2 linked regions of the Callithrix jacchus genome follow. The protein of the gene in region 1 purifies or fractionates together with the protein of each later gene. This does not show direct contact. Links are inferred from orthologs where the notes say so. Each region holds a gene or a part of one and is shown on either strand. Other genes may lie near its edges.

The links. The genes of interacting proteins can lie anywhere in the genome.
Region 2: the proteins of HSPA12B (region 1) and EEF2K purify together in Homo sapiens (affinity purification with mass spectrometry; 3 studies listed by BioGRID and IntAct, with this or other methods). This does not show direct contact. The link is inferred for Callithrix jacchus from reciprocal best matches to the Homo sapiens genes HSPA12B and EEF2K.

The regions. Positions count from the first base shown.
Region 1 is NC_133506.1:11,263,422-11,268,905, reverse strand, and holds part of HSPA12B (heat shock 70 kDa protein 12B), read right to left. Parts: intron 4,555-5,484; coding exon 4,430-4,554; intron 2,227-4,429; coding exon 2,040-2,226; intron 1,652-2,039; coding exon 1,547-1,651; intron 1,224-1,546; coding exon 1,107-1,223; intron 1-1,106.
Region 2 is NC_133513.1:22,842,298-22,847,781, reverse strand, and holds part of EEF2K (eukaryotic elongation factor 2 kinase), read right to left. Parts: intron 3,394-5,484; coding exon 3,244-3,393; intron 2,843-3,243; coding exon 2,710-2,842; intron 2,453-2,709; coding exon 2,325-2,452; intron 1,593-2,324; coding exon 1,391-1,592; intron 1-1,390. UniProt on the Homo sapiens protein: Threonine kinase that regulates protein synthesis by controlling the rate of peptide chain elongation.

The sequences.
Region 1 (5,484 bases):
GGGCCAGACCTTCCTGAGCAGCCAGGGAACGGCATGGGAGGAAGCAGGGTGGGGAAACTGGCAAGGGATCTCTGGGGGAGCAGGTGTTTGTTCTGGTTGGGGACAGCCTTGCTTCTGTCCTGATCCTTGCACAGGGGTGTCCACTGTGCTCAGGGTTAGCTCCTCCCAGTGAAAAGTGTAGGCATCTACAGACCTGGCCCCAGGTCACGCCTGTCCCATAGGTGTAGGAGGATTGGGGGCTTCTCCAGGGGGTCCACAGGCAGACTTGAGATCCCTTCAAGCAATGAGTCTTGAGGCTGTGCCCTCTCTCTGTCTGCACTGGAGCCCCTCCAATATCTTGCTCTAGGTCTTTGAGCATCTCGGTGGTAGGAAGACTTGCATGTATTGGTCAGAATCTCCTCCCTTTATACTTTCATAGTCCTATTTCCCCTGCTCAAGGACCAACAAAGGTGGGGCAGTGGTGGGGATACCCCTGAAAATACTGATGCCAACTGAAGTAAATGTTCTAGGGGCCCTGCCTGCCACTGTGAGTGTTGGCTGCTACTGGCTCACGGCTGCCACCTCCTCTGGACAGCTGCCCTCAGCTGAATGGGAATGGCGTCACTTGGAGAGGTTTCCCTCCCATGCCCCCAGAACCAATGACAGACCAATATGGATGTACAAGAAGCTGGCCCCAGTTCTGTGCTACAGTTCTCCCTCTGCAGCTCCCCATGAATTCTAGCTGAGGTTAAACCTGAGGCTAGACTCCAGCCAAGACCACATCCTTCATAGCCCTTTTCCTGTCCCACTTCCCTCCCTCCCCTTTCTCCTGAGAACCATTCTTCAATAGACCTCACATATAAGGGTCTCCATCTTGGGCTCTGCTTCTAGGACACCTGACTTAAGGCACTGTCTACAATGGCCTGGGCTGTGCCTCTTGTCCCTCTGTCCCATTCCTGCAGGCTCACTCCCTCTCCAGGTGGCAGCAACCCTACAAACTCCCAGCAGGAGCAGGCTGAAGTTCTTTCACAATGCTCTGTGGTCCCAAGGGTAGTGGGTGCATACAGGCGTGGGGACAGGCCTGGGCCTTCCTGAGCAGTGTTCTCTGCCCGCCTGCATGTCCTCACCAGGTAGGCAGCTTCCCGCATGAACTGCTTGGCCGGCTGTTTCCAGATGGCAGGCACCGTCAACACCCAGCGCACAGTGTCCTTTCCTGGCAGCGATGGGCTCTGCTCCCTCAGCTCCTGGTGTAGAAGGGGGCAGTGAGAGGAAGAGCTGGCTTGGAGGGAGGGTGGTCTTCAGCCCTCTGTGGAGCTGGAGAAACTAATCAAACTACAGGAAAGACTTCCCAGCTGAGTTGGAAGAATCGGGCCCCCTCCCATCAGTATGGCTTGGTACAGGCTCTACCAGACGAAAAGAGAGGGAACTGGAGAAAATGACCTCGGACCTCTGGCAGTGGCTACGCATCCAATGTCGGGGGCGGGAATGTTCGGATGAGGGGAAAGGATGGGAGTAGAGGGGCCTGGGGGTCCCTGCTGCAGTCAGCAGTAGTGGGGCCGCAGCATACCTGAAGGGCGTGCTCCCTGAAGAAGCGGAGGGCATGGGCGAACACCTCCAGGGCAGGCATCTTCTTTCCATTTACTGCCTCTAGTTGGGTCTTCAAGGTGAGATCCTGGCAGGGACACAGGGTGGCTCTGGAGGAAGCCTCAGCTCTGCCCTCATTTCCTGACGACCTCATTCTTAAAACCACCCCATTTTCTGAAGCTTCCCCTCCTCTTTAGCACCGTCTCATTCTTGCCCCAATCTGACATTAGCTCTGCCCCAGCACCTCTCCTAGGCCCCACCCTTCCCGCAACCCGTTTCACTATTAGCCCGCTTCCAGGTGTCTCACTTCTGAGTTCCTCCCACACTGGGGTCCGAAGTCTCCCTTTAGCCCCGCCCCCTCTCAGCCAGGACTCCCTCGGGCCAGTCCTTACACCTTTAGGTTTTGTCCCACCCTCCCATTAGCTTTCCCAGGCAGGCGCAGGCCCCGCCTCCCTGTCTGAAGCCCGGTGACTCACTGTGGCGCTGTGGATCTTCATCTTGAACTTCTCGAAGTAGAGCCAGTCCCGGGCCTCCTCGGGATCCAGGTCATGATAGTAATCGCGGGCGGTGTAGCCAAAGCTGTGGAAGGCGCCCTCTGGGGTCAGCAGCAGGCAGGTCGGGGTCTTCTGGTGGGCCACGCCCGGGTCTCCGCCCTCCCATTTCCTGCGGGACACCGGGCCGTCAGTGCAACCCTCCCTTCCTGGGTGGGAATGCAGGCAGAGGGAACAGCATATGCAAAAACTTACAGGTGAGCAAGAGCAGGGAGAACTAGCTACGGGTCGGCTGGATATGCAGCCGGAGAAAATACAAGAATGCTAAGGTCAGATCATGAAGAGAACAGAATGTCATTAGGAGCTCTGTCTAGGTGGATTTTAAGTAGTAAAGAGATATGACCACATTTGCCTTTAGAAAGAAAGGTCACTGGCTCCCGTGGAGCAACAGAACGGAGGAGAAAGGAAACCGGGGAGGAGGACGCTGCCGCCATTCAGGTGAGAGAAGGTCGGGGCTGAACTTGGGCAGGATCGGTGGCCCAAGAGAAGAAGATGGGGATTCTAGGTGTTAGGGAAACATCTAGAGATGTTAGGGGCTTGGTGGCTGATGGGAAGAGAAGGCTTGGGAGGAGGCCAGGATGTCCCCCAGTTGTTTCCTGTGACTGTCACCTCCACAGGACAGAGACAGTGTCCCTGCATGTGTCCTTAGCCCCAGCATGGCCTCAGCTGTGTGTCTTGATGAGCCTGTAGTTCCTATAGCACTGTTAGTGCCCAGAGCCTTTGTGGCTTCCTAAGATGCAGGAGGAAGGACAGCCCAATCTCAGGAAGCTCAAGTCCTGTGTATTTTGGGAGCAGTTACCTGTCTGTCTCTCCATTCACCCTTCCAGCCAGCCTCCAGGCCTGGGGAAGCCCCTCTTACCTCCCATCCCAGTCCGGGTTGAGAGCTTTGAGGTCTCCTATAGCTTCACCTACTGCCTGCCGACCCCCTAGGACACATCCAGAGGACTGGGGTCTTGAGGTCCAGAGGAGAGTGTTCACACAAAACCCAACAACATCTGAATAGAATTTTGAAACATGTCTTTCATAACAACTGTGTGACTCGTCAACTCAACCCTTGGAACCTTCATTTTCTTGGTTTTTATTTGAGATGTTGGACCTAGGAATTACCACTTGGAATCTACCCCATAGAGATTGCAGCACAAGTTTCCAAAGAAGCATATTACTGTTGCACTTCTTGTAATAGTGAAAAATGAGTGGAGGAAAAAAAAAACCCTAAAACTGTCAATAGGGGAATGGATAAATTATGACACATCCGTACTGTGGGAATACTAGGCAACCATTCAAAGAAAGTGGTAGCTTTGTATGTACTGACATGAAATAGCTACAAAATAGTGTTGAAGGTTTAAAACAAAGGAAATTGTATATCTCACTTTTACTTAAAAAACACATATGTGTTTGTATATGTGTGTGTTTGAGTACAAGCTTAGAAAAAGATTTGTGGGCTGGGCACGGTGGCTCACACCTGTAATGCCAGCATTTTGGGAGACCAAGGTGGGAGGACCACTTGAGGCCAGGAGTTTAAGACTAGCCCTGGCAACATAGTGAAACCCTGTCTCTCCAAAAAAGATTTTTTTTTTTTAATTAGCCAGGAGGCTGAGGTGGGAGGATTGCTTGAGCCCAGGAGTTTAAGGCTGCAGTGAGCTATGATCATACCACTGCACTTCAGCCTGTGTGATAGAGGGAGACCTTGTCTCAAATAAAAAAAAGTAAGAAAGAAAGAAAATTAAAAAGGCCAGGCGTGGTGACTCACGCCTGTAATCCTAGCACTCTGGAAGGCCGAGGCGGGTGGATCACCTGAGGTCAGGAGTTCGAGACCAGCTTGGCTGACATAGTGAAACCAAGTCTCTACTAAAAATACAAAAATTAGCCAGGTGTGGTGGCACATGCCTGTAGTCCCAGTTACTCAGCAGGCTGAGGCAGGAGAATCGCTTGAACCCGGGAGGCAGAGATTGCAGTGAGCCGAGATTGTGCCACTGCCCTCCAGCCTGAACAGAGCGAGATTCCATCTCAAAAAGAAAAGAAAAGAAAAAGGATTTGCATATTTTATTGTATGTTTGTTATATCTCAAAAAAATTAAAAACGAAGTCTGATTTTTCCTTCAGAGGGCTGGGAGCTGCTCCAGTTGAGGCCACGGACCCAGGCCTGGGGCCTATCCTCCAAACTTTTGCCCCAGTGAGGAGCCCCAGACTAGGGACGGCAGGGCCTCTGAGGAGACCCCATGTCTCGGTGACAGTACTTTTGGGACCAAGATTATCCCAGGGTACGAGGGACTCCCCACGCTCCCCACCTCACTCTCCCAGCCCAGCTGCCCTCACCTCATCATGTGGATGGCCTCAGGGTCACTGGCAAAGCTGAAAGCATAGCCACTAGACGTGGTGCCGAAGTCAATGGCCACCACCACAGAGAAGGAGGCCTGCTGGGGGGCTCGGGCCTCGGGCTTCTGCAAGTGCAAGACCTAGAATTAGCAAGCAGCCAGGAGGGACACCCCCACACTCACCCCCAACACTTCCTCTGCATGGGGGAGACACTCCTCTCCACTGACTGTGATCCAGACTGGCCCTGGCCCTGGCCCACCCCACCTGCCCACCTGTCCGGGCTCCCCTGCCCTCCCAGGCTCCAGGCTGAGCCTTGGACATGCCTCTCAGGTAGCCCCAGGAAGGGTTCGGCTCAAGCTCCTGCTTTCTTGCTTCTAGTCTCTGCCTACCCTCTGCCTGGACTGCCTTAGCCCCACCCCTACCTCACACCATCTTCATAGGCAGCCACCAGCCTGGGCCCAGCTGAGAGCAATTTTGCTCCTCCAGGTAGCTTTACAACACATGGACCAGTGTATATTTTACCCTCTTGCTCTTTGTGGGCAAAGTGACACAAACCAGACTGTCTGATTCTGTGGCAGAGAGGACAGGCCATGTGCATGCCCCCAGAGAGCCTGGGCTCCCTGAGAATAAGGAAGTCCCTAAGCTGGATCGCCAGGGCAAGGTCATCCAGATGGGGTAACCCAGGGAGCTTGTGTCCTGGATACTTCAAGCTACTGGTTTCCTTTTTTAATTATTTTTATTTTATTTATTTATTTTTTTAGAGACAGGCTTTCGCTGTGTTAACCAGGATAGTCTCAGTCTCCTGACCTCGTGATCCACCTGCCTTGGCCTCCAAAAGTGCTGGATAACAGGTGTGAACCACGGTGCCCAGCCTCCTTTTTTTCTTTTTCTTTCTTTTTTTTTTTTTTTTTTTGACAAGGTCTCACTCTGTCACCCAGGCTCGAGTGCAGTGGTGTGATCTTGGCTCACTGCAACCTCTGCTTCCCAGGTTCAAGCGATTCTCCACCCTCAGACTCCTGAGTAGCTGGGATTACAGATGCGTGCCACCACGCCCG
Region 2 (5,484 bases), on another chromosome or scaffold:
CAGTGCCTTATGCCTGTAATCCCAGAACTTTGGGAGACCAAGGCAGGTGGATCGCCTGAGGTCAGGAGTTCGAGACCAGTCTGGCCAACAGAGTGAATCCCCATCTCTACTAAAAATACAAAAATTAGCTGCATGTGGTGGCATGCACCTGTAATTCCAGCTACTCAGGAGTCTGAGGCAGGAAAATTGCTTGAACCCGGGAGGTGGAGGTTGCAGTGAGCCAAGATTGTACCACTGGACTCCAGCCTGGGTGACAGAGCAAGATTCCATCTCAAAAACAAACAAACAAACAAGCAAACAAACAACAACAAAAACAAAAACAAAAAAAACCACCAACCATCTCCTGGTGGTTCCCTATGTCTGTCTCCTACCCTATAGAGACAAATCTGTCTGCCTGTTTTTATAATTTGTAACAACAGTGTTTATGTTTTTAAATGATAACAAAAATTACATTTCACCATCCATAGTTTTATTTGAACACAGCCAGGTCTACTCATTTAACGATTTTCTATGGTAGCTTTCAAGCTCCAAATGCAGAGTGAATGACCTGCAAAGGTTAAAATATTTACTCTCTGGCCTTTTAAAAAAGTCTGTTGACTCCTGTTCCAAACTATTCCAAAGATCTTCCAGTGGAAACATCTAAAAGTCTTCTTTAATGTTTGATACTAAACTCTCTCTTCCAAAGGTATCAGAAGTGAGAAAAATTAAAAAACTAAATAATAAAATCTTCTCCTCCTCCTGAGCCTGCTCCCACTCATACTTTTCCTGAATGCATGAGTTCCATTTCTTCAGGCCAGCACCCTGGGATCAGTCTTGCCTCTATCCTTTCCCACAGGCTCTTGTCTGAATCACCAGCAAACTCCATCCTTTCAACATCAGAAATAATGATTCTGTTTTTCCCCTTTGAGCCATTAATATCATGTTCATAAGTTTTCTAATACTGAACAACCCTCAGATTCCTATGAAATCCCTATTTAACTGGGACAGGTGAGCCTTTTAACACACTACTATTTTTATTTGTTAATATTGAGATTTTTTTTTTTGTTCTCTCTCTATATATATACACAAATAAAAATTTTAAATAAGGTTGGGATATAATTTTCTTTTTTAGTTTGTCAAGTTTACTATATTTTTTTTTTTTGCTGGTTTTGCTGGTTTCATAAAACACACGGATAAATGTAACCTCGTTTCCTACAATAGGGGTTCTTTTTATAGCATTTGGATGATCTGTTTTGAAAGTTCACTCAATGAAACTCACTTATAAAACCACTGGGGCCACGAACCTTTTTGATTAGCATGTCTGATTTTTCTAACGTAAATGAAAACCAGTTTAGCTCTGCTCTACCTGAACCCTCCAAGCACAGTGACTGGGGACCAAACCATCACTCACGGAGGTGGTCCAGCTTCTGGCTGTGTGGTGTGGCCGAAGATGGAGAAGAAGGGAGGGAGTCAAAGGTCATGTCACTCATGTTCTCATCTCCAGAGTTCTCTGACAGGGGACGGAGCAGGGGGGGCCGACTTCCAGAGAGGGTCCTTATTCGCGGGCTCCCACATTTTTCCTCTGTTCCCCTCAAGATGGTCTTGGCTGATTGCTGGGGACATTAACAGGGATACTCATGTCACACACACACCCTGTGGGAAATAAAGGGCTCTTCCTATTATTCCTCTAGCCCTGAAATCCCTTCATCTGTAGCTTCTAAACATGCCTGTTTAGGGGCTGATATATTGTCTCAAAAAAATAAAAAATCAGTAGGGAATTAAACCTAAGTCCTCCAAGAAAGGGCATCAGGGACAGAAGCTCAGAGGACCTGCTAGCCAGCATCCCCTAAAGCACTGACCACATTCCACAGCCTGGAGCTGGAGAAAGCATCCCACTCTATGTCCAGCATCCTAGGCTGGTCTTGGCAACATTCTCTTGTCTCTGGTCCAAATAGCAGTGGGAGGGATGGGAGTTATCCTGCTGAGGTGCCTGGAGAGCCAGGTCTAAGACCAGTTCAGTCGTTTGTCTGAACTGAATATAACACACAAACACACACACACCACATGCCTTCTCACTATCTCTACATGTCTATTCCCCTCACTCTGAGAATAAATGGGCCCAACCTAAGCAGATACCAGCTGCTAGACTGTGAGACACTCAGGAGGACTCTGTGCACTGAGCTGGAGGGGACAGCCTGGGGCACAGATGGGACAGATGCTTCCAGCTCTGGTATTTGTCAGTTAAGCACTGCTCGGCCTGGCTGTCACCACACAGGGGAGCAAGGCTTGCTGCGCGGGTAGCAGAAGGGCCCACCAGGCCAAGCAGGGTCACACCAGGCACCCACCAGCAGCTTGGTGTTCTGATTCACTGCGTCCCTCTCCCGGGGCGAGAGGTCAAAGGGAGCAAGGCCCATGCTCTCACAAATCCGGTTGCAGGCATGAGAGTAGAAGAAAAGCGCCATCCCGCGGACACCTGTGGACAGAGCAGGGGTGTCTGGAGTGTTGCTTTGCTCTGTGACGGGGAACAGGCAGTGGTGGGCCTCAGACACATGGCCAGGGCAGCTACAAAACTTGTGGAGCTGGGAGGCATCAGACATCCAGGCTCCCATCTCCACAATCTTGGGAAAGCGCAGACAGTGTCTCAGCCTATTTCCTTGGCTGCACAAAGAGCTCAGAGGTTTTAGCAGGGAGTGTGGTTTCTGGGGAAACAGGTTGGCTCTCCCCACCTACCTAGGTTGCCGTCACCAAAGTCAGTGCCCATCTCTGTGTGGATCTGTGGGTCAGTGTAGAGATCCCCAACTCCCTGGATGTCCACCACTATCAGCTGATGGCCGGAACGCTCAAATGTGAAGTGGCTGAAGGCCTGCACGGGGACAGGAAGGAAAAGGAGATGTCAAGAGACAGGCTGAGGGCTGTGCAGGCACTGGCCACACCTCTGCTCTGGGGGTTGAAATGCCCCAGCTTTGCCCATGCTGAGAGGCTTTCTCTGCAAGGAGGAGTTATATAGAGGAAAAGACAAAGGAAAAAGGCCGGTTCAGTTAGGCAGGGACTGTGGGCTGAAGGTCCTGTGGCCACCTTAGGTAAGAGAAGCTGTCATGGGGTGACAGGTGTCCCGTTATAGTCTCCTTCAGAATGCTCACAGGGCTCCTCTGAGGGTGAGACTCCAAGCCCACAAGGACCATCCTCTTTGGGGGCTAAACCTGGCCAGGATCCCATCCCAAAGGGCTGGGGTGGGCAGAGCATGCAGGTAAGCAGGGGCCTCACCTGCGGTGTCAGGCGGATGTTGTCGTCACGGACAAAGCCTGAGTTGGAGTTATACTTGATGTACTTGCCCTCGATGTAGTGCTCCAGATGGAAGAGGGGCTGGCCTGGTCTGTCCTTTAGCTCAAGGATGCACATCTGCATGATGTCCACCTGATGGGATGGGAGTGGGAGTGGGCTCAGGTGGGAGGGCCCAGTGCACCTCCTCTGAGAATCGGCAGCAGGAGTGCTGAGAGGAGCTGGCCTGCCTGGGCTCAGACCCTGGCTCCGTCACTTACTAGCTCTCTACTGCAGGAGCTCCTGATGATGCCCAGAATCTGATCTCCTCTTTTCCTTTCATTTTTTTTTAATTAAAAAATACATATTGCTGGACGCAGTGCAGTGGCTCATGCCTGTAATCCCAGCACTTTGGGAGGCCAAGGTGGGCAGATCACGAGGTCAAGAGATTGAGACCATCCTGGCCAACATGGTGAAACCCCATCTCTAGTAAAAACACAACAATTAGCTGGGTGTGGTGGTGTGCGCCTGTAGTCCCAGCTATTCAGGAGGCTGAGGCAGGAGAATTGCTTGAACCTGGGAGGTGGAAGGTGCAGTGAGTCAAGATCGCACCACTGCACTCCAGCTTGGTGACAGGGTGTGATTCCATCTCAAAAAAAAAAAAAAAAATTAATAAATAAAACAAAAGCACAAAAATTAGCTGGGTGTGGTAGTGTCTGCCTGTAATCTCAAGGGGTCTGAGGCAGGAGAATCACTTGAACCCAGGAGGCAGATGTTGCAGTGAGCCAAGATCATGTCACTGTACTCCAGCCTGGGTAATAGAGTGAGATGCCATCTCAAAAAAAGAAAATTCTTTTTGGAGACAGGGTCTCACTCTGTTGCCCAGGTTGGAGTGCATAATTATGGCTCATGATAGCCTCAAACTTCTGGGCTCAAGCGATCCTCCCACCTCAGCCTCCCGAGGAGCTAGAACTACAGGTGTACGTCACTACACACTACATATGGCTCATATCTAAATATTTTTATCGAGACGAGGTCTCGCTCTGTTGCCTAGGCTGGTCTTGAATTGGCCTCAAGCAATTCTCTTAACTTCCAGCATCCTCCCAGAGCATTAGGATCACAGGATGCAGCCACTGTGCTCAGCTCTCTTTTCCTTTTAGAATGAAACCCTGGATCGCTGAGTTTTTTTTGTTTTTGAGATAGAGTCTCACTCTGTTGCCAGGCTGGAGTGCAGTGGTGCAATATTGGCTCACTGCAATCTCTGCCTCCTGGGTTCAAGCGATTGCCCTGCCTCAGCCTCCTGAGTAGAGACTACAGGTATGCACCACCTTGCCTGGCTAATTTTTTGTATTTTAGTAGAGACAAGGTTTCACCATGTTGGCCAGGATGATCTCGATCCCCTGACTTTATGATCTCTCCACCTTGGCCTCCCAAAGTGCTGGGATTATAGGCCAAAGCCACTGCACCCAGACCCCAAATCACTGAATTTTAAAAGGGTCCATAGCCACCCACTAGGGATGACATTGCTAAGATTCCCTTGCAGCTAAGTATGGCCACATGACCGTGCCTGGCCAATGGGAACTGAGCATTGCAATGACAAAACTCCAGCCTGCCCTATAAGGTGGACTCTGCTTGGGAGCCAGAACTGATCATGTGGTCCATGGCAAACCCCTGAGGGGATGGCAGACAAACAAGACCAAAGGAACCAGGTCTCTAGATGGCTTCAAGGAGATGAGGCACCAGCCTACCCCAAGTCACCCACCAATGCAGGACCTCCACACAAGTGAGACAGAAACTATTTCATGTCTGCACATATTTGTGGGTCTGTTTGCTAAACAACTTAGACTATGCCTTACAGTAATACCATGAATTTGGGAACATTTATGAATTTTACCTCTCTATGCCTCAGTTTCCTCACCTGCAGAAAGAGTCTCAGACTCAGCCTGTGAATTAAATTTGTTGATGCAAAAAGGAGCCAAACAATGTTTGCTTTTGCTTTATTTTATTTTATATTTTATTTTTTTGAGACAGAGTCTCACTCTGTTATGGCCCAGGCTGGAGTGCAGTGGTGCAATCTTGGCTCACTGCAACCTCCGCCTCCTGGGTTCACCTCTGCCACGGCCTCTCGAGTACCTGGGAGACTACAGGCACCCGTCACCATGCCCAGCTAATTTTTATATTTTTAGTAGACACAGTTTCACCATGCTGGCCAGGCTGGTCTCGAACTCCTGACCTCAAGTGATCTGG